2 linked regions of the Macaca mulatta genome follow. Each later gene encodes a partner of the first gene's protein in a complex. Links are inferred from orthologs where the notes say so. Each region holds a gene or a part of one and is shown on either strand. Other genes may lie near its edges.

Evidence for each region.
Region 2: RANBP2 (region 1) and centrin-2 share a complex: the UniProt entries of both Homo sapiens proteins name them as parts of the nuclear pore complex. The link is inferred for Macaca mulatta from reciprocal best matches to the Homo sapiens genes RANBP2 and CETN2.

Annotation. Positions count from the first base shown.
Region 1 is NC_133418.1:19,338,786-19,348,544, reverse strand, and holds part of RANBP2 (E3 SUMO-protein ligase RanBP2), read right to left. Parts: intron 7,408-9,759; coding exon 7,313-7,407; intron 6,276-7,312; coding exon 1,124-6,275; intron 254-1,123; coding exon 176-253; intron 1-175. UniProt on the Homo sapiens protein: E3 SUMO-protein ligase which facilitates SUMO1 and SUMO2 conjugation by UBE2I. Involved in transport factor (Ran-GTP, karyopherin)-mediated protein import via the F-G repeat-containing domain which acts as a docking site for substrates.
Region 2 is NC_133426.1:159,103,176-159,113,719, reverse strand, and holds centrin-2, read left to right. Parts: upstream 1-4,914; 5' UTR 4,915-4,938; coding exon 4,939-4,941; exon of another isoform or gene 4,942-5,307; intron 5,308-5,889; coding exon 5,890-6,048; intron 6,049-6,370; coding exon 6,371-6,499; intron 6,500-6,969; coding exon 6,970-7,107; intron 7,108-7,696; coding exon 7,697-7,786; 3' UTR 7,787-8,304; downstream 8,305-10,544. Other genes in the region: NSDHL (sterol-4-alpha-carboxylate 3-dehydrogenase, decarboxylating), read right to left, coding at 337-386. UniProt on the Homo sapiens protein: Plays a fundamental role in microtubule organizing center structure and function. Required for centriole duplication and correct spindle formation. Has a role in regulating cytokinesis and genome stability via cooperation with CALM1 and CCP110.

The sequences.
Region 1 (9,759 bases):
TAAAGGATGTCATGCCACCAGTCAAAAGGTGCTTTGCTTAAACTGGCATTCTTTAACATGCATGTTGTAGTGTTAAGTACTTAATTTCATACAGCCACAGTTATTAATACTTTGCTAAGGGCTACCAGCTGCTAAAAACTGCTGTTATCTCATACTGAGAATGCTAGTTCTATACCTTTGTTCTCAGGCTGTGAGGAAGGGGTGCTAGTCCAAAAGGCCATGGGATTAGATTTAAAAAGGCTAAAATTAAATCCTAGAAAATGAAGAATATTTCATTTTTTAACATTTTGGGAAACAAAATGAATATGCTTTTAAAACATAAAAAGCCAGAATCCCTCAATTTATACCACCAATCTGATTGTCTTATATATTCATTTACCCCTGTAGTTTCATTCTTTGCTCATTTAATAAATGAGCAAGACTAACATACAACATATAAAATGAGAACATCTCAGTATCATGTTCTTTTTTTTTTTTTTTTGGAGACAAAGTCTCACTCTGTCACCCAGCCAGGCTGGAGTGCAGTGGCATGATTTCAGCTCACTGCTACCTCCATCTCCTGTGTCAAGTGATCCTCCTGCCTCAATCTCCTGAGTAGCTGCTAATTCTAGGCACGCACCACCATGCCCGGCTAATTTTTGTATTTTCAGTAGAAACAGGGTTTCACCATGTTGGCCAGGCTGGTCTCGAACTCCTGAGCTTAAGCGATCTGCCTACTTCAACCTCCGAAAGTGCTGGGATTCTAGGCATGAGCCACTGTGCCCGGCCTCAGTATCATGTTTTCTGAGTGACAAACTGAACAAATGAAAATGAAAACTTTTTTTTAAAAAAAGACTCGTTAACGCGCATGATTCAAGCATGAGTCCGTACACTGTACTGAGTTCTTTTGCTCTGCCCTAGCATGAAAGAAGTATCTTCCAGTTACTGAAATGTCTTAAACTAAGTTCTGTTGCTCTTTGAAACCTCACCGTGAACTTATTAAGGGAGAAAAATATATTGCTCAAATATTTTGGGGGTGTTCACAAAGCATCGTTTATATCCCAACATTAGTATTCTACAAAGAGTGCATCAAGTTAAACATTAAAAGAAAAATTGTGCTTAACTTTAACAACAAAGTACTTACCCTTTTCTGGTGTTTTAAATGTGTAATTGATTGAAGATTCTTCCGTTGGAAAGGAAGCAAAGAGATTTTTGACTTTGCTATCTGAAGACTGTTCGGTATCAGAGTTCTTTGACAGTTCACATTTGTTAGGTTCCACTTTGCTTTCAGATCCACTCTGGGCTACTGAACTAGTTTCGCTATTGTTACTTTTCAAAGGTGCATTAAAACTAAATCCAAACAAAGACCCAGTGGCTGAACTGTTGCCAAATGCAAATGGTTTTGATTTTTCACTACTAAAAATGCTTTTAACAGACTCTGAACCAAATACAAACTTTGGAGGAGAAACCACTGCTTTTGTTGTTGTTTCAGATGTGCTAGACACTTCAACTTCTGAAGTTGCATCTGCTACATCATCACCCTGAATAACATCTGTCCTCTCTCTTGTGGTCTCTTCTAATACAGCTACAGCAATTTTGCCACATGGTGACTCTCTGGGAGTGCCTGACCGAGAAACATGAGGTGTTATCAAAGAATCTTTTTCCTGGGCTGTTTTTGCTTCATCAAAAATTTTCTTAAATGAGTCTGCAACATCCTGTAGTTTAAAACGAACAGCTAAATGCTCTACTTTTCTTTCTCCATCTGCAAAATCACATGCAGTCCACACCCATACTCTTTCTGTCCCTTTCATATTTTGCAAAGTCATGTCTGGAGTTATTCTGTGATTGGCACAAAGTTTTAATACTTGGTCTCTTCTCATCACTATACGAACTTGCTTATTATCATAATTCTGTAAAATCTTTATATCACCAATGCCCCTTTCTTTCCACTGACCAACATCTTTATCGTATCTGTAGAGTTTTGCCCTGTGACTAAAAACAACTTGTTCATTTTCCTCACCACTGGATACTTCAACTAGATCAGGTAAAGGAACAACAGGTTCAAAGTACTGTCCATCTCTCTCTTCTTCTTGAGTAACATCAGATTCTTCATCAGTGCCAACTGATGTCCCACTCTGATTCAACTTGGCAGGAGACTTAGATGGACTCAAAGCAGATTTAAAACTGAAGTTAAATCCTGTTGTTGACTCACCAAAGCGGAAAAGATTTTTTCTCACAGGGCTACTTGCCAATGGAGAAGCATGTACTGAGCTACTACTAACACTATCATCCAAAGCATCTTCCCTTAAATCATAGTTATCCCATTCTAATGTGGGCCCAGTGTTTTCGGGATTGGGTTTTATTGTTGTGTCTGAGGCACTGGCAGAACCTGTACCTGAATTCTTATTCTCTTCTTCAGTGACTTTTGTTTGATCATTTGTCAAAAATGTCTTGAAATCTTTCAGTCCACTCTTCATTTCTTCAGCTCTCTGTATTAACTTGGCAGCTCTGCCAGTATCTACAAGTTTATGGGGAGTTTGAAGTGGTATGTCTAACAGAAGCCGCTGGCATTCCTCAAACTTCTGCTTGAATTCTTCAGCCAGCTCTGGTGTTTTAAATTTTGCTGCCAACTGCTCTAGTTTGGCATCACCATCAGAGAAATCACTGGCTAACCACATCCATGCTCTGTCTGATCCAGAGAGAGGCTTCAGATTCATCGTAGTCGTTATCCAATGATTAGCACACACTTTTAGTACTTGTTCTCTTCGCATCAGCATTCTTAGTTTGCCATTGACCTCATTTTTGAGAATTTTTAAGTTCCCCAAGCCCCTTTCTTTCCACTGACTTATCTCAGCATCAAACCTAAATAGTTTTACCCGCTGTGAATACAAAACTTTTTCATCTTCTTCTCCTGTTACAAGTTCTACTTTTTCAGGCATTTGAACTACTGGTTCAAAATGGATGTCATCACTGTCCTCAGTCTTATAGGCATCATCATCTTTCTCAAAGTCACCAGAAGTGTTTGCTTTATCGGCCATTTTACCACATTGTGATGAGAATAATTTTTCTCCAGCACCTGAAAATCCCTTGAAATTGGGGTCTTTTTTGCCAAACTGAAATCCTTCTCCTGAGGTTGATTTTGCAAGATCTGCAAATGTAAAAGTGCTACTTGTTTGACCAAAAATCACACCACTACCATTCTTCTGGCTACTAATATCCTGAGCCTGGAAGCCAGAATCATTTTCAAGAGGCTTTTCACTTTTCTTTTCTTGATTCCCTGGTTCCGAAATGCCAAATTTAAATCCATCAGCAGACACAGGGATGGAAAATCCTTCTTTGGTTGACTTAAATTCTGTATTAGAAGAACCCTGAAACATAAATGAAGGTGAATTTTCTTGATCCACATGCCCAAATTTGAATCCTTGCTCTGTATTGCCAAACTTAAAAGCTTTTTCTGAGAAATTACTTTTAAATCCTGTTCCCACCTGACTTCCAGAAGAGTCATGCAACTTCATTTCTGAGCCCAATGTGAAAGCTGAAGGAGCTTCTGCAATAGGTTTATGAGTTGGTTTAGAGGCATCACAAGCCACACATGTTAAGGAAGAACTCTCATTTTGTACACAGCAAACACTACAATCCCACTGTCCTTTCTTGATGAACATTCCTTCAAATCCACTCTTTGGAGCCTTGCTTACCTCCGAAGAGGTAGGTGTTGAAATTGCAGTTGTTTGATTTTGTTTACTTGGATACTGACAAGCAATACATTTGGTAGCACTGGCTTCATTTCTTACTAAGCACATACTGCAATCCCACTGTCCTTCCTTCTTAGTGAACATTCCCTCAAATCCACTCTTTGGAGCCTTGCTTGTCTCTGAAGAGGCAGGTGTTGAAATTGCAGTAGTAGTCTGATTTTGTTTACCTGGATTCTGACAAGCAATACATTTGGTAGCACTGGCTTCATTTCTTAGTAAGCACACACTGCAATCCCATTGTCCTTCCTTCTTAGTGAACATTCCCTCAAATCCGCTCTTTGGAGCCTTGCTTGTCTCTGAAGAGGCAGGTGTTGAAATTGCAGAAGCAGTTTGATTTTGTTTACCTGGATTCTGACACGCAATACATTTGGTGGCACTGGCTTCATTTCTTACTAAGCACACACTACAATCCCATTGTCCTTCCTTCTTAGTGAACATTCCCTCAAATCCGCTCTTTGGAGCCTTGCTTGTCTCTGAAGTACCAAACTTAAAAGAGGCAGGAGCTGAAACAGAAGTAGATGGACTTGGTTTATCTGGATTCTGACAAGCAACACATCTTGTAGCATTTGCTTCATTTCGCACTAAGCATGAACTGCAATCCCACTGTCCTTCCTTCTTAGCAAACATGTCCTCAAATCCACTTTTTGAAGTTTTACTTGTCTCTGAAGTACCAAACTTAAAAGAGGCAGGTGTTGGAATAGCAGTAGCAGGTAGACTCTGTTTTCTCGGATTCAGACAAGCAGCACATTTTGTAGAGCTCCCCTCATTTTGTACCAAACATACACTGCACTCCCACTGTCCTTCCTTTGTAGAAAAAACAGATCTGAAGTCACTGTTAACAGGTTTAGGAAGATCTCCCTGGCCAAATGTAAATGAAGCCTGATGAACAAATGAAGATCCACTTTTGTTAGCAGATTTTGTGTTCTGACACGCAATGCACCTAGATACAGTAGGTTCATTTCTTACTAAACAAATACTACAATCCCAGTGACCTTCTTTCTTTGGAGTCATCAATGCAAATCGATCTTGAATATTCTCTGGGCCAGTTTTAGGAGTAAAAACAGTTTCAGCTAATGGTGGGCCAACGAGTTCTTTATTGCTTGGGTTTAGATTTTGGCATGATACACATTTCTTAGCAGTTGCAGCATTCTTTAATGAGCAGCTGTTACAATGCCACCAAGACCCTTCTTTCTTTCCAACTTGAAATTCAAAATTCATGTTTCCAGCATCAGATTTGCAAATATCCTTGCTATCATGACTTGTGGGTTCTTTTACAATTCTGATAGCCTGATTTGATGCTGTGGCTACATTTGTTCCTGGGGCTTTTAAAATGCTCTGGGCTTCTTCAAACTTGCACTTAAAAAGTGCTGCTTCCTCAGGAGTTTTGAACCTAATAGCAAGTTGTTCTGGTTTTGGCAACTCATCTGCATAATCAAGGGCATGCCAGACAAAAGATCTGTCTGATCCAGCATTTGGTGTCAATTTCATATCTGGACTGATATAATGATTTGCACAGATTTTCAACACTTGCTCTCGTCTCATTAGAAGGCGAATTTTACCAGATGTTTTATGCCTCAGTATTTTTACATTGCCAATCCCACGTTCCTTCCATTCTTTGGATTCTACATCAAAACGGAACAATTTCGCACGGTTGCAAAAGAATTCTTCTTCATCTTCCTCACCAGTTTTTACTTCAATCTTATCAGGAAGAGGTACTACAGGCTCAAAGTGAGGACCATCATCATCATCATCCCCATGGGCACTTCCTCCATCTGTCTCATGGTTCTTGTTTGCTGTCTCTAAAGTGGGTGTTCCAAATACTGATTTCCCTGGACCACGGAAAGTAAACATATCATCACTTCGCCGAAAACCAGAATTCTTTTGCTGAGCTGACCCCATGTTTTCTGTAAACGAAATTCCAGACACATTTTTGCTTCCAAAATTGAATGTATTTCGAGGCCCAATGGTCTGACCACCAGGAACTGGTTTGGGTCCACTATAGCCATCTCCTTGCAAGGGTTTATCTGAAGTCAGGAGACCTAAAAGGCTTTCACTGTTACTGTAAGCTGCAGGAGGGGGCTGTGTCACAACCTGTGGTGAGGAAAATGTGAAGTCACCATCATTTGATTTGAAATTTGAGTTAAATTTAAAAGGAGGTGGCTGTGTTGTGTGTGCTGGTGTTGGCAAAGATGGCCTTATTCCTTCACCTGGCATGGGCTGAACAAAATTAGTTTTCCCAAATTCTATAGTCTTAGATTCTGCAGATCTTGAAGCATGAGCTGCAATTGGAGGTTTTGTGAAATATCCTGGTTCTGGCAAAGGTGGATTTGTGCTTGTCTGCTGAACATTGTAATTAAAGTAATCATCACCCCTGGGCGATAGAATTCCTGTTGCAGGAGACTCAAAACGCAATGCAGGAGGACCATACATCTCCTGAGAGAACATACAAGCAGATGAGCTTTGCACTGGTGGTGTGTGCATCTGTTGCGGATAGGCATAAATATGCTGTTGGGGTGGAAGCCTATTCATGCCATAGACTGGGCCCTAGAAGACAGAAAGTTAAAACATTTTGTAGATTGTCTACAAAACTACAGATAACTAAATGCAAACCAATTCTCACAAACTTCAAACATGAATATTAAGTGAAGAAGATATCATTAGGGGATGTAGTACACATCATTAACCCGTTTATGCCAGAGGCTGCAAATTTTCTGTGTGAAAAATCAGACCTTGGCAATGACCCTGAGCAGTAAGATATAAATAACTCCCAAAAGCTTAGTGTTCCAATAATGGAACACTAGGCATAAATAGGTTAAGAGAAAACCACATTGCTACAAAGATACTTGCATATATACTTGGCATATAATGAAAATTAATTACAGCATCTTAAAATCTACAACTAAAGTCATAAAATAAATACCATCTTCATTCCTAAACAATTTATCAAATGATGTTAATAATGATGATGATGATGATGATGGTAACATTTATTGAGCATTTATTAATGTGCCAGCTGGGCACTATTCTAAGCACTTTACATTATTATCTCATTTTAATATCCTCAAAAACCCTATGAATTAAGGTATTATTATTATCCTCATTTTACATATGAGGCAACTGATGCATTGAGAGGTTAAGAAACTTGCCTGTGGTCAAAATAAGCAGAAGAGCAAGGGTCTAAATGCACCCCATCACTCTGTCCTCAAAGCTATCACATTCAACTACCACTGTAATTTTGAGTCTTCAATCAATTGTTATATATATAGCTGTATCAGGCCTGAAAGTACTTACCACATAGTGGGTCAGCAAGGGCATTGTAGTTCTATTTCTGTTAAAACAGAATGATGAAGGATCCACCACTACCACTCCCATTTTTAAAATATTCTAAATATTCACACTTATTGTAACACAAAAGGTGACTAAGAAGTATAATTTCTATATCTGGAGATAAATTTAAATTATCTACACCTTAAGGGACATAAAAGTTTTAATACTGAACTGCTTTCTTGAATTTCTTTGAAGGAACCCTAAACAATTTAAAATGGAAATAATTATAAATGTATAAATTATTCCTTTGTTACCTTTGTGGGAGTAACATTAGCTGCTGGTCTGAGAAGATACTGGGAATTATATGCTGGTGACTGACTATAATATACTGAAGGGCCAGTAGTTGCAACTAAAAAAAAAAAAAGAAAATAAAGAAAACACTGTTAAAGTCTATACTACAGTTAAGACTATCTAGGCAAGAGCTATAAATACAAAAACAATAGAAATTAAAGAAAGATTTAACTACATAAATTTTAAATTTCTGTACATCAAAATACACCAATCAAGATTATCAAATGACAAACTAGAAAAAAACTGCTAAATATGACATGAAGAATAAGAGAATAGCATCGCGTGATCAACAAGAACAACTACCTCACAAGCATTAAAAAAGGAATAAAGAAGAAAGTAGCTGGTGCCTTTTCTAAGAAAGATCAGTATGATGTGGAATTATGGACATTCAGTCACAGAAAGGACGTAAGGAACCAAGATGCCATCTGATGGTCAATGCATTTGAAGTGGGTCTAGAAAATCTGCAGAAAGACTAGGTTGTATTTTGTAAACTAAAGCTATTACTGCGAATGTTCAGCTCAAAAATCACCTGACAAATTCATGGAAAGGATCTCACAAATAACACAAAATGTGTTCCTTGGCTTAAAACAAAAAGCACATCAACACTCATGCTGATGTAAACTATCTGCTCCGCCTGTTCTGTGTTTTACCAGGAAGCCACACAACTAGAAGGCACCCATGTTAATGGCAAAACTACCAACAGTCATTTGCTTGAACTGTTTTATGACAGTTTTACCAGAAAACCACCAAAAGACCTTTTATGCCTGTACATGGAAGAAGAAACAAATTGTGCCAAGAGGTTCCAAACAATTGCCTCTGGAAAGCACTGAAAAATCAAGACCTAGAAAAGGCTAGCCAGAAGCCCAAGTTTGATTTTGGAAACCTAATAGAGGTGAGGATAGCAATTTGGAAATTCCTATGGGGAGGAAGCAGGCACAGAACACAGAACAACCTGACAGAAAATGGCCCAAGAATCTTAAAGTCTTACGAGATGTCTGTCTGCATGAAAGCAAAAAGAAAAAATAAAAAAATAAAATTTTAAATTAAAAAAAAAATCTTAAAGTCTGAAATTTAAGTAGGGACTTTAATTGACTACTGACTCTAAACTGTGGGGAAAAAAACTAAAGAGCTCTAATAAATCTACTAAAAGTAATCTAATTTTTGAAAGCACCACATGAATAGACAATTTAGGAAAGAAATGTAATAGCCTCAAGGGCCGTGTTTTTGAAGTGAGCCTCGAAAATCTGCAAAATGACAAGGCTGCATCGTGCAAACTCAAGCTATTATGAAAACATTCAGGTCAAAAAAATTACCGACAAATTCATGCAAAGGATCTCACAAGGAACACAAATGTGTTCGTTTGCTTAAAAAAAACACATTGACACTCATGTTGATACACAAACTCTTCTCCATCTGTTCTGTGAGTTTTACCAAAGAAACCAAACAACTGGAAGGTACCCACGTCGAAGATGGCACAACTGCCAACAGCCATTTGCACAAACTGTTGAGCATGACTAGTATTAAAAAAAACTTAAAAATTGGTATCACTTTTGTTCCTACAAATTGGCAAAGGATTTTATAAACTAGTAAGTCAGCATTAGCAAAAGTGCGAAGATGGCACTATCAGATACTAGTGGTAAGAACATAAACTGATTCTACAAAACTAGGACAGTGTCCTAGAATTTGTAATGGCATAAACCAGAAACAACATAAATAAAGGAACAGAATTTACAGTACTTCCATGTGATGGGATACCACAAACTCATTAATATTCAAAAACATTTCAGTTTAAAAATGCTCAGAACTAAAGTAACATTTAAAAAACAGGCTAGCTCATCCACACACAACATACTAACATGGTAACAATCTCATAAAAAATACTATATGTATAGAGAAAGAACCAGAAGGAAATGCTCTCAAATATAAGAAATGTTAATAAGATGGTTAGTTTTTAGTTTTCTTCAACCTGTTCAGTACTTCTGAGCATCTCCTACGAGCTTATTAATCTTTAATTTTAATCATCTTATTTTAAAAAAATAAGGACCATCTTGATATGTTTACTATTAAGGAAAAAAAATGTATGAACACAGGAACAGAAATCAGGAGATCCTGGCTCTCCCCCTTTCAGTGCCACAAAGCTGTTCTGTGATTGGAGTCTCCATTTTTCTCAATTGTAAAATGAGGATGTGCTGTTTGTACACATTTCATAGGGTCATTGCAAGAATAAAATGAGACAATGAGAATGTTGTATTTATATGCTTGTAAAAGAACAGAAGGCCTTTTATACCTGTACACAGAAAAAATGGAACTCATGACCCAAAAGGCACCAAATAACTGACTGCACACAGCACTAAAAAAGCCCCAGAAAAGGTCAGCCCGTTTGTTTATCCTCTTACAAGCACCTATATGA
Region 2 (10,544 bases), on another chromosome or scaffold:
CATGTCCTTTGCTGGGATATGGATGAAGCTGGAAACCATCATTCTCAGCAAACTATCACAAGGACAGAAAACCAAACACCGCATGTTCTCACTCATAGGTAGGAACTGAACAATAAGACTACTTGGACACAGGGCAGGGAACATCACACATGGGGCCTGTCAGAGGGTAGGGGGTTGGGGGAAGGATAGCATTAGGAGAAATACCTAATGTAAATGACGAGTTGATGGGTGCAGCAATCCAACATGGCACATGTATACATATGTAACAAATCTGCACGTTGTGCACGTGTACCCTAGAACTTAAAGTATAATAATTTAAAAAAAAAAAAATGTCACCTTGCAGCCACTGGCCTCATTAATCCTAATCGGAGTATTTTCTTTCCCATATCACATCTTAAAAGGGAGGCCTTACTTTTGCTCCTACAGGACTACTGCTTTGCTGTATCTTCTCTAAGAAACACATCCATAATGAAGGTGTGTGCCACCTCAGGTGAAGCGAGAAGAGAGAAGCAAGTTAGCCCAACCTCCTCCTTCCTGCTGGGGAACATTCCAACCACTGATTCCTGGAGGCAAAAGGAGAGAACAAGACAACATTCTGTTTCAAACTAGAGACAGAGATGAGTGTCCCCTCCTTCTAAAAAGAAGTGTGACATCTTCATAAAGGGGAAAGGCTGTCAGAGCCCCTCACTTGTACAAGGTCCAGTGCAGGAAGCTAGAATGTGGCCACTGAGAGCTCATCACTTCAGTCCACGGACAGACAATGCCAGGCAAAGTGCCCTTCTCCCAAACACCTCAGTAGAGTCTGGCTATCCAAGGAATGCCAAGTAATGTTTCTTAGAACTTTCTTTGGAATCCTGAAATGGTGGCCTGAGCCTTGGATTATAAAAGAGGATTCCCCTATTTCTCATCACCTCATGCCTCATGCTTGGCTTCCTCTGCAGGACTGGGCCAGAAGATCAGATGGAAAGAGAAGGATTCACCTGAGGCAGCACACACCTTCGTTATGGATATATTTCTTAGAGAAAATACAGCAAAGCAGGAGTTCTGTAGGAACAAAAATAAAGCCTCCCTTTCAGAATTCAAAGATGTGATATGGGAAAGAAAATACCCAGATTAGGATTAGTGAGGCCAAGAGCTCAGAGGTCATTTCTCTTCACAGGTGTCAGTTTAGCCTTGATTATGCTGGGGCAACCCAGCTCGACCTTGTCCTTCCATGGACCTGCGGTGTCCATGTTTCCACCAGTTGTTTGTTTCTCTATTTACTTTTAGGACAAAAAAAGTCCCCAGCTTTTATTTTGTGGTAGACCTCTCAGAAACCCATCAGCATGCCTGTGAGCTTAGCTTATGCTGCTCCTCTGCATGGAATACCTTCTCTCTCCTCTCCACGGTGACTGCCTCCTCTTCCTTCAAGGCCTAGTTGAACTGCACCCTCTGTGAAACCTCCTCCCCCTCTCCAGGAAAGGTGAGTCACTTCCACAGCACCTGTTTCTGCTCTCATCCTCACACTCAGCACCCTGTAGGACCCCACGAGCCCCTGGAGGCCCAGCAGGCAGTCTGGAATGGAAGATGGGTTTGAGTGATTTATCATGCTGCCACTGGCCCTGAGGCCTTATCTGTAAAACAGCATTCTTCTCGCCTACCTCAGAGCCACTGTGAGGCTCAAACAAACCCCCAGGGTTAAAGTGGGAGCGGTAACTTGTAAAAGAACCCCCAGGTGTCACCTCATTCATTGATTTCCTCATTCACAAGGCACCAAATGCCAGTCACTACCAGGCAGAAGCTGACAAAGACACAGTGCTGACCTTCAAGGAGCCCACCATCTAGGGTGGGAGACAGGAGCAAGCAAAAAGTCACAGAAATGCGTTTCCACTCTGATGAGGGCAAGCCCAGAGCACCAATGCAGGCTGCTGGCTCAGGGAAGCCTGCCCCAACTAGGAGATCCCTAAGCTGACTTCAAAAGACCCCAGAAGAGTGAGTAAAACAGAGGGCATGGTGTCCTGAAAGACATTCCATGGCCAGGGGTAGGAAGGACAAAGCAATGGCACAGAGCCACAGAGCGAGCATGTTTTTATAACTGTGACAAGTTGTGTCACAGCAAGTGTGAAGCAAGATCGGGAGCAAAGTTGAGAACATGTGGGGCCTGTGTGCCAAGCTAGGGAGTTACAAGGGGGGAAAGATGGTGGAGCCCCCAGAAGTTGGAAGCAGGAGTGAGTGTTGCGATTGGAAAGATCACCTTGGCTGCAGTGTGGGGAAGAGATTTTGGACAAGTCTAAGGCTCCAGGCACGGCGGGTAGGGGGAATGACAAGAGCAAATCAGAGACGAGAACTACATTTGACCCCTGAACAATGTGGGAGTTGGGGCACTGAGCCCCAAAGTAAAAAATCCACATATAACTTTTGACTCACCTAAAACTTTACCAATATAACTTGCTGTTGGCTGGAAGCCTCACCAATAATGTAAACAGCTGATTAACAAGTATTTTCTGCGTTACATCCATTACATATTGTGTTCCAGCAATAAATTAAGCTAGAGAAAAGAAAATGTTACTATGAAATTGTAAGGAAGAGAAAATATATTTACTATTCATTGAGTGAAAGCGGGTCATCATGGTCTCCGTCCTCATGGTCTTCACACTGAGTAGGCTGAGAAGGAAGATGAGGAGGAGTTGATCTAGCAGCTCAGGGGTAGCAGAGATGAGAAAAAACCTGCCTGTAAGTGAACTCACAAGGTTCAAACCCATGTTGTTCAGGGGTCAACTGTAATACTGCCTGAAGACCTGCTCAACATCAGGCCACTTTACATATAAGTACCTCATCCCATTGAGATGCAAAAGTATCCCATCAGGTAGACAGTACTGGCCTCACTCGACAAATAAGAAACAGGCTCAGAGAGGTTAAGCGACTTGCCCAAGGTCACACAGCCTGCACAGAACTTGTGTTTGTCCCTTGTACTCTGTCAGGCTTCCGATCTGCAGGCTGATGGACAGGGAAGCAAAATGTGGAGGGACATTAAGTTAGAAGGGTTAGCAGGGGCAAAACTGGGCAGAGGGATCACAGGCCAGGCTAAGGAGCCCTTTACAGTCCAGGCTCTGAAGGTTTAAGAGCAGGGAGATGCCGTGACCAGAGCTGTTCACTATGAAGATTAACCTGGCAGAGTAGGGAGGACTAGCTAGGTGAGAGGTGGGAAACAGGGGAACTACTCATCAGTTGTCTGACCAAGATTTACTGAGCACCTAATATGTGCCCCTCTCTGTTCCAGGTCCTGGAGTACCAGTAGTGAATACAACCAAGATGCCCGCCCTCAGATAGCCTGCCTTCTAGCGGAGGGACAACAAAGAGCAAAATAAACAAGCAAAATATACAGTAGGTCAGAAGGTGATAAGGACTATTGGAAAAAAAAGCAGAAAAAAAAGCAGAGCAAGGTGAGTGGCCTGTTTGTATTGGGGGCTGCAGTACTTAAATAGGGTGCTTAAGAGGAGGCAGACAGAGAGGACAACTGGGACAAAGATGAGAGGCAGTAGTGTGGCTGGCACATGAGGTTCAACCACAAAGCCAGTGTTCTGGGGCTGAGAGAAGAGTTGTGGAGTGATGGGAGGGGACACGTCGTGCCAAGCTTTGGAGACCATGATGAGAACTCTGGCTCGTACTACTTGGGGGGATGATGATGACCCAAAAATTAGGAGTCTGTTCACTGCTGAAGAGGGCAAAGGGCAGAAGCTCCATTTAAAAGGTTCTAATAAGCCTCAGGCCTTTCTCTGCCTGAAAAACTTACTTTCTGCCCTCTACTTCCCTAGATTACTGCCCCAGTGCCTGGAGGAAAATCAGGTGAAGGCTAAAAGCCACGTAGACAGCTAAAGAGGGCAAACTGGACCTCCAGCTCCACTTCTGCAGGTCTGTCTCAGTCCACACAGCCCTTGCACACGCTCCCTTTTAATTCTCCAAGCATACCTCTCACTTCCAAAACTCCTGTGACTCTGCTGATGAGGGCGTCTCGGCCTGGAATGCTCCTCCTTATCTGCACTGTGTGGGTGTCAAAAAGAGTATATTTTGATGACCTCTCCCCGCCCCTCTTGCTTGCTCACATCCCCTTCACTCCTTTCAAAGTCCGTTCCCAAAGCCCCCAGTTCACCGTCCTGGGCTGTTTTTAGCCAGGTAAGACCTGAAGTGATCCTCTCTTGGAACCTGGTCTGGGGCCTACACATCTGGGTCAGTCTGGGGGTGCTCTCGAAGGGCCACCCTCAAAGAGCGAGCCTCGGCTGGATTCAGTTCCTAGGTCCCAGCCGTCCGACCTCTGCCACAACGCTCAGCAGACCCCTTCCCCTCTCCGGGTCTCAGTTGCCCCGTGAGTACAGTCCCTGCTCCAACACGCAAGGTCAATCGTCTCTGGCTGCTCTGATGCACTCGGTCCCTAACTCAGCCTTAGGTCAGCACAGAAAGCACCCGACCCGGGCGGCCCCGCAGCTCCTCACCCTCCCGCCCCGCCCAGTCGCTGACACAGGGTGGCCTCCAAGGGCAAGGCCACGACTCTTACCCGTCCGCAGGTGCCCCACTGGCTGGCCTCAGCTCGCAAGCAGGCTGCACCCACCGAACTCCAGCCCCGGAACGCCACCCTTTACTCCCCTCCCGCGTGAGCCGAGAATCAGCCGAGCTTCTTCTACCAAGAGGATTGGCCCAGCTCGGCGTCGGCTCAGCCAATTGGCGCTCACGGCTTGATCTTGCCCAATAAAGACAGGTCTCTGTCCCCAGCGTGCCCCTCCCCGCGCTGGGCCTGGGCTTTGCCAGGTTAGTCCCACCCTCTTCGGCCCTGCACCAGTAGGGAGCGGCGGCGGCGAGCGGACGCCCAATGGGGAGCGGGGCTGTGCGCGCGGGGCGGTGGGAGCGGCGCCGAATCAGTGTACACGTCGGTTGCCTAACAACCGGCCGTGGACTCCTTTGGCTATGGTGAGTGCTGCCGCTCTGTCGCGCCCCACGCCCAGAGGCTGAGCCCTTCCCAGGCCCCAGCTCGGCCACGCCGCCTCTCCTGCGCCTTTCTCGGCTTTGACGCACCAGTCCTTCCTTTGAGCTCTTTCCCGGAAGAGTAGGGTACAGACGCTAACCAACCTACTGGGCCTGCGCTTTGCTGCTGCCTCCCCTTCACCCACAACAGGCCCACACCCGCCCCTCGGGCTCCCCTGGCCTTCCCTGATCACCTCGGTGAACCTCCCTGGGCAAAAAAGACTCGAATCCCTCACAGGCCCCTGACTTTCTCAGACCTTGGCCCCCTGGCCGCCTCATTCTGCCAAAATTTCCACACAGAGCTGGGAGAAGGTGTATTGTGTTCTATTAAAGTGTTTTTTACAATTTAAATATAGGGGCATTCAGGGGATGCTGTAGCTTCTTGGAGAAGGCACGAAGGTGTCAGATGGATTGAGTTTTATTACTCGATACTGACACAATATACATCTTAACAACTTGCTAATATTTGGCCAAATCTAGAAGTAATTGGGAAGTCAGAGTGCTTACTGGGAAGCGGAGTACTGGGAGTGGGCATTGTAAGGCAGTTTCCAGAACCAGGATCCCCACATTCGGGAAGAGCTGATTATCTCTACTTATTCGCAGTCATTTTCTTGACTAGCTCTCTTTTGGGATGATTTTCAGTAAGAGGTATCCTTACTGAACAAGTGATCTCCCTGCTTCTAGAAACGACAGTAAAGAAAAGGGAGGGATAGAAGTTCATGGAAAGATTCATTGTTCTTGCCAGTAAACCCTGTTATCTTTCTTGTTAAGCAAAGCTTTGGAATTGGTTGCCATAAAATTATTTAAAACTACATATGGGTGTCTGTAACTATGTTATGTAAATATGGACTGTACGATATATTATTGTGCTTGTGTATTGCATAACGTATGAAGGCCTCCAACTTTAAGAAGACAAACATGGCATCAAGTTCCCAGAGAAAAAGAATGAGTCCTAAGCCTGAGCTTACTGAAGAGCAGAAGCAGGAGATCCGGGAAGCTTTTGATCTTTTCGATGCGGATGGAACTGGCACCATAGATGTTAAAGAACTTAAGGCAAGCTCTATGCATTCCTGCCGTACTGCCCTTCCTTTCCTCTGCCTCTTCCTTGTCATCTCCCTATCACCTCTCTACCCCTTTTGCCCTCTTCTCCCTGCAATAAGTAACAGGGGAGGTTGTACTGTGCTCTGTTTTCCTGTCTTTACTTAGAGTATTATTAAATAAAATTGATTGCAAATGTCAATTAGATCAATGTTATAGTGTTCCCCAATCATATTAACATGACCACATCAGATGCTGGCTTAATGCTCTCAACACTGTTGTTTTTGCTGCTGCTAGTTCAGATGTGCTTATTGAGACAATCCTGTTTTCATTATAGGTGGCAATGAGGGCCCTGGGCTTTGAACCTAAGAAAGAAGAAATTAAGAAAATGATAAGTGAAATTGACAAAGAAGGGACAGGAAAAATGAACTTTGGTGACTTTTTAACTGTGATGACCCAGAAAATGGTGAGTAGCTAAGACAATTTGCATGGTATGGCGCCCCAGTCATCTGCAGAGGCCCATGGCATCTGCCTGTTAAAACAGTCATGTGACCACAGAGCAGTCCAGGTAGCAGCTGCATCAGGAGGCCTGCCCTCCCATCATGTTACCTTGGGCTCCCAAAACAAGCCCTTGTACTTCTTTCTCAAGACTTCCAAGCAGATACCTCTTCCCACAGAATTCTAAACCAGTTAGGAAATAGATATGGGATAGGGAGAGATATAGGGATAGGGAGCAAACGTCACCTTGGATGGAGTGCCTGGCTTGACTGGTGTTTCTCTGAGGCCAAAATGGGCTTCCTGACACTTGCTGCAAGTCTAGACTCGAGTTACATTGTTAAAAAGGAAAGGGTGACCTGACCGGGCAGTGGCAGGGCTACAGGACATGAGTAACCATGGTGTCCCCCTACTCATGTGTTTCATGTTCTATTTGGTAAGTCTGAGAAAGATACCAAAGAAGAAATCCTGAAAGCTTTCAAGCTCTTTGATGATGATGAAACTGGGAAGATTTCGTTCAAAAATCTGAAACGCGTGGCCAAGGAGTTGGGTGAGAACCTGACTGATGAGGAGCTGCAGGTTTGTAATGCATCACACTGGAACTTAAGATTCCCACCTTTGGGCCCTCTGTGACTTTTCTGTTACATTTTCCCTAGTGTGAGCACTTCTTTGAAGGAAAGCCAGTGTACTTTGTCCCTCTGTGGACAACTGAATTCTCCTTTAATAGTCAGACAAACCTATGAACGCTGCTTCCAGAAAAATGCACATAGGCACAGTTTTGCCTACTATTTTACATTCCAGGAATCCCTCTAGTCAAGGTAATCTTCAAGCTCCCTCCCAGGTGATAATGTTTGACAAAGTATGAGTTGGTTTTCAAATAAGTTTTCAGGAACCAAGCTATTATCAGGAGTGGCATACTGGCATTGGGTGGACTACAATTATCTATTCACATAGTGTTATTAAAAGTCTATTGCTTGCCAGGCACAGTGGCTCATGCATGTAATCCCAGTACTTTAGGAGGCTGAGGCAGGAGGATCGCTTGGGGCCAATAATTTGAGAGTAGTGTGGGCAGCATAGAGACCCCGTCTCTAAAAAGAGTCATATTACTTAGTCACCTTTTGGCATTAGTTTATAAATTAATCTAACCTGAATCTTTACTGTCATATAGGAAATGATTGATGAAGCTGATCGAGATGGAGATGGAGAGGTCAGTGAGCAAGAGTTCCTGCGCATCATGAAAAAGACCAGCCTCTATTAAGATCAGTGTCTTCTTTTTCTACTGCAAGCACATGTAACTAGATTTAGTGCCTGCCATTGTGTGAAATCTGGCTTTTGAGAATACAAACTTTTCCCCCACTGACCTCCCTTTATCACTTTAATAGTGACCTTGAGTCTATTTTAGCTGTTTGGAAGTGTTCTTTGATATTACAGTTCTTTGTAAAATGACCTGCGAATTACCCTAATTCTCAAAAGCAAAACAAGAGCACATTAGCATGAAGAAAAAGATCTTAAAGCTTTGAGCACCTGCCATTTTGCCTTGCATTGTTTCCCTCTTATCATGCATTTCCACATATCCACAAACACAGGACGACTTTAGACAAGCACATGTTACACTTGTGTCACCACAAGCAGTCATTCTTGAGTGGCTCCAGTTTTTATTTGACACTTGAGTTTAGTTTTCTCTTTAATAAAACCCAGTGAAGTCTTGCACTGGCATTTGGATGTGTGTTAATGCTATTTGTTTTGTCTTAAAAATAAAACCTTTCTCAGTTTGAACTTGTGTTCTCTAAGGATGAGTTCTTTAGCTTTGCTTATGAGTTCCTCTTCTCAACTATTGTGTTGAAGGCAGCCTGTTAGATACAAAACTCCTTACCAGCCTATGGACAGAAATGAATAATCCTTTGCTACTTTCCTGGCGTGAATTGTTTTTTGCCTTGGGAACCTGCTGGTTTGTAAAACTAGCAGAAATTTTATATTAGCTAAGCCTAAATGATGCTCTAAAAATAGTTTTGGCAAAGTGTAAGACTGGAAAAGAGTCTTGTTAGTAATTTGTGCTTGAATAAAATGGGGAGAGCCAGGCTAATCCAACACTAGGATGGATTCAGCCAACCTCTCATGAATTTATTTGCTTATGGTGTCTCATCGACTCTTGGAGGTGGGTTGGGCTGAGGGACCCTGTCCAGCCATCTTCCTGGCCTTGCACGGGATTACCTGTGAGAGAAATCCTGGTAGATGACATGAAAGTCTCTGCTCCAGGTTGAGAGTGGGGAGACAGAAGGGGTAAGGGAGAATAGAAAACGAACAATGATGGAATGCTCATTTGTTCACGTGGAGACAGAGAAAACAGATTTTCAAACTTCTGGGGGTAGGCTAGTCCCCTGGGGATAGGGTTGCACTGATTTAGCTAATAAAAAGAAAGCCTAGGTAAATTTGTATTTCAGATCAACAATGCATTTTTTTTTTTTTGTATGAATATATCCCATTTGGATTTTTTGTTTATTCATTGTTGATCTTAAATGCAAATTTACCTGAGCATCCTGTATTGCCACTGGTAACCCTACCTGGGGAGCACGTTACAGAGGCCAGAAGCCTGGCCCTGGGTCTCATGCCTGGACCCTGACATCCTGTAGGACTTGGGGGCCCAGGAATATGAACTTTACCATATCCCGCAGAGGAGTCTCATGCAGAGGGACTGCTCCTTAAGAAACACTTGGGGGAAGAGCCCAGACTAGCCCCATCACTGGGTTCTCACACACATACTCACCCACTTCCGCGCCGGGCAATTTGGGCCAAGCTACTTCTCTAGGTGCCTGGAGTTTCATGTCTGTGTGATGGGGAGAAGAGTTGTGCCTACTCAGAATCACTGGAGGTGAAATGCAAACTTACAGAAAGGACCTGGCTTGAAGGTGTTCAAGAACAAGAGGATTCAGAAGTGTTCAGTCTCACTCCCATTCCTTTGCTATAGTTATCACATAAGCTTTGTTGTTAAATGTGGGTCCATGAAGCTTTTATCATTACTGTCCCCAAAGTCTGTTGATAGCATTTCCTAAGAGGATTTGACCTTTGTCGTATTGTGATTTTCTAATAAGAGGCATATGATTGGATAAAAGACATAATGTTAGAAAGGAGTGAAAAGACTGGGCCCTGCCTCCGATTTTACTGTTAACTGTAACCCTGGAAACACTCATTTGAAAAAAAGTTAATTAAATGAGATCATGTCCTTTGCAGGGACATGGATGGAGCTGGAAGCCATTATTCTCAGCAAACAAACTCAGGAACAGAAAACCAAACACTGCATGTTCTCACTCATAAGTGGGAGCTGAACAAAGAGAACACATAGATACAGGGAAGGGAACAACACACACAGGGGCCTGCCGGTGGCAGCAGGGGTTGGTGGGGGGAGGGAGAGCATCAGGATAAATAGCTAATACATGTGGGGCTTAATACCTAGGTGATGGGTTGATAGGTGCAGCAAACCACCATGGCACACATTTACCTATGCAACCAGCACATTCTGCACATGTATCCCGGAACTTAGGGAAAAAAAAAAAAAAAAAAAAAGAGAACAGTTTTAGGGATAAGGAAAAAAAAAGTTAATCAAAAAGAAGTTTTAAAATTGACATTGTATATATTTATGGTATACAATATGATTTGAAACGTGTATACATTGTCGAATGGCTAAATTAAGCTAATGGACTATCCTGGACACATTCTTATCTCCTCCTGCTTAATATTCCCACAAATGAAATCTCTCAGGAATCTCTTGAGAGAGGACAGAGAGTGGCAAGTAATAGGTTATCCCTGAGGATAAAAACAAACATAAGGTGTTCACCATAGCTATGCCTGGCAGCCATTCTAAGATAGGTGTGCAGTTGTTCAGTGGAAGGGATGGGGACAGAGAGGGAGCATGAGTCAGTGGGGCTGAACCAGAGAGCTGCAAGGGGATCAGGAAGATGGGGAAGGAGAGGGAGCTGGGCTCAGTTCATCTGGAGGCAGAAAAGAGTCCTGAAGGCGGG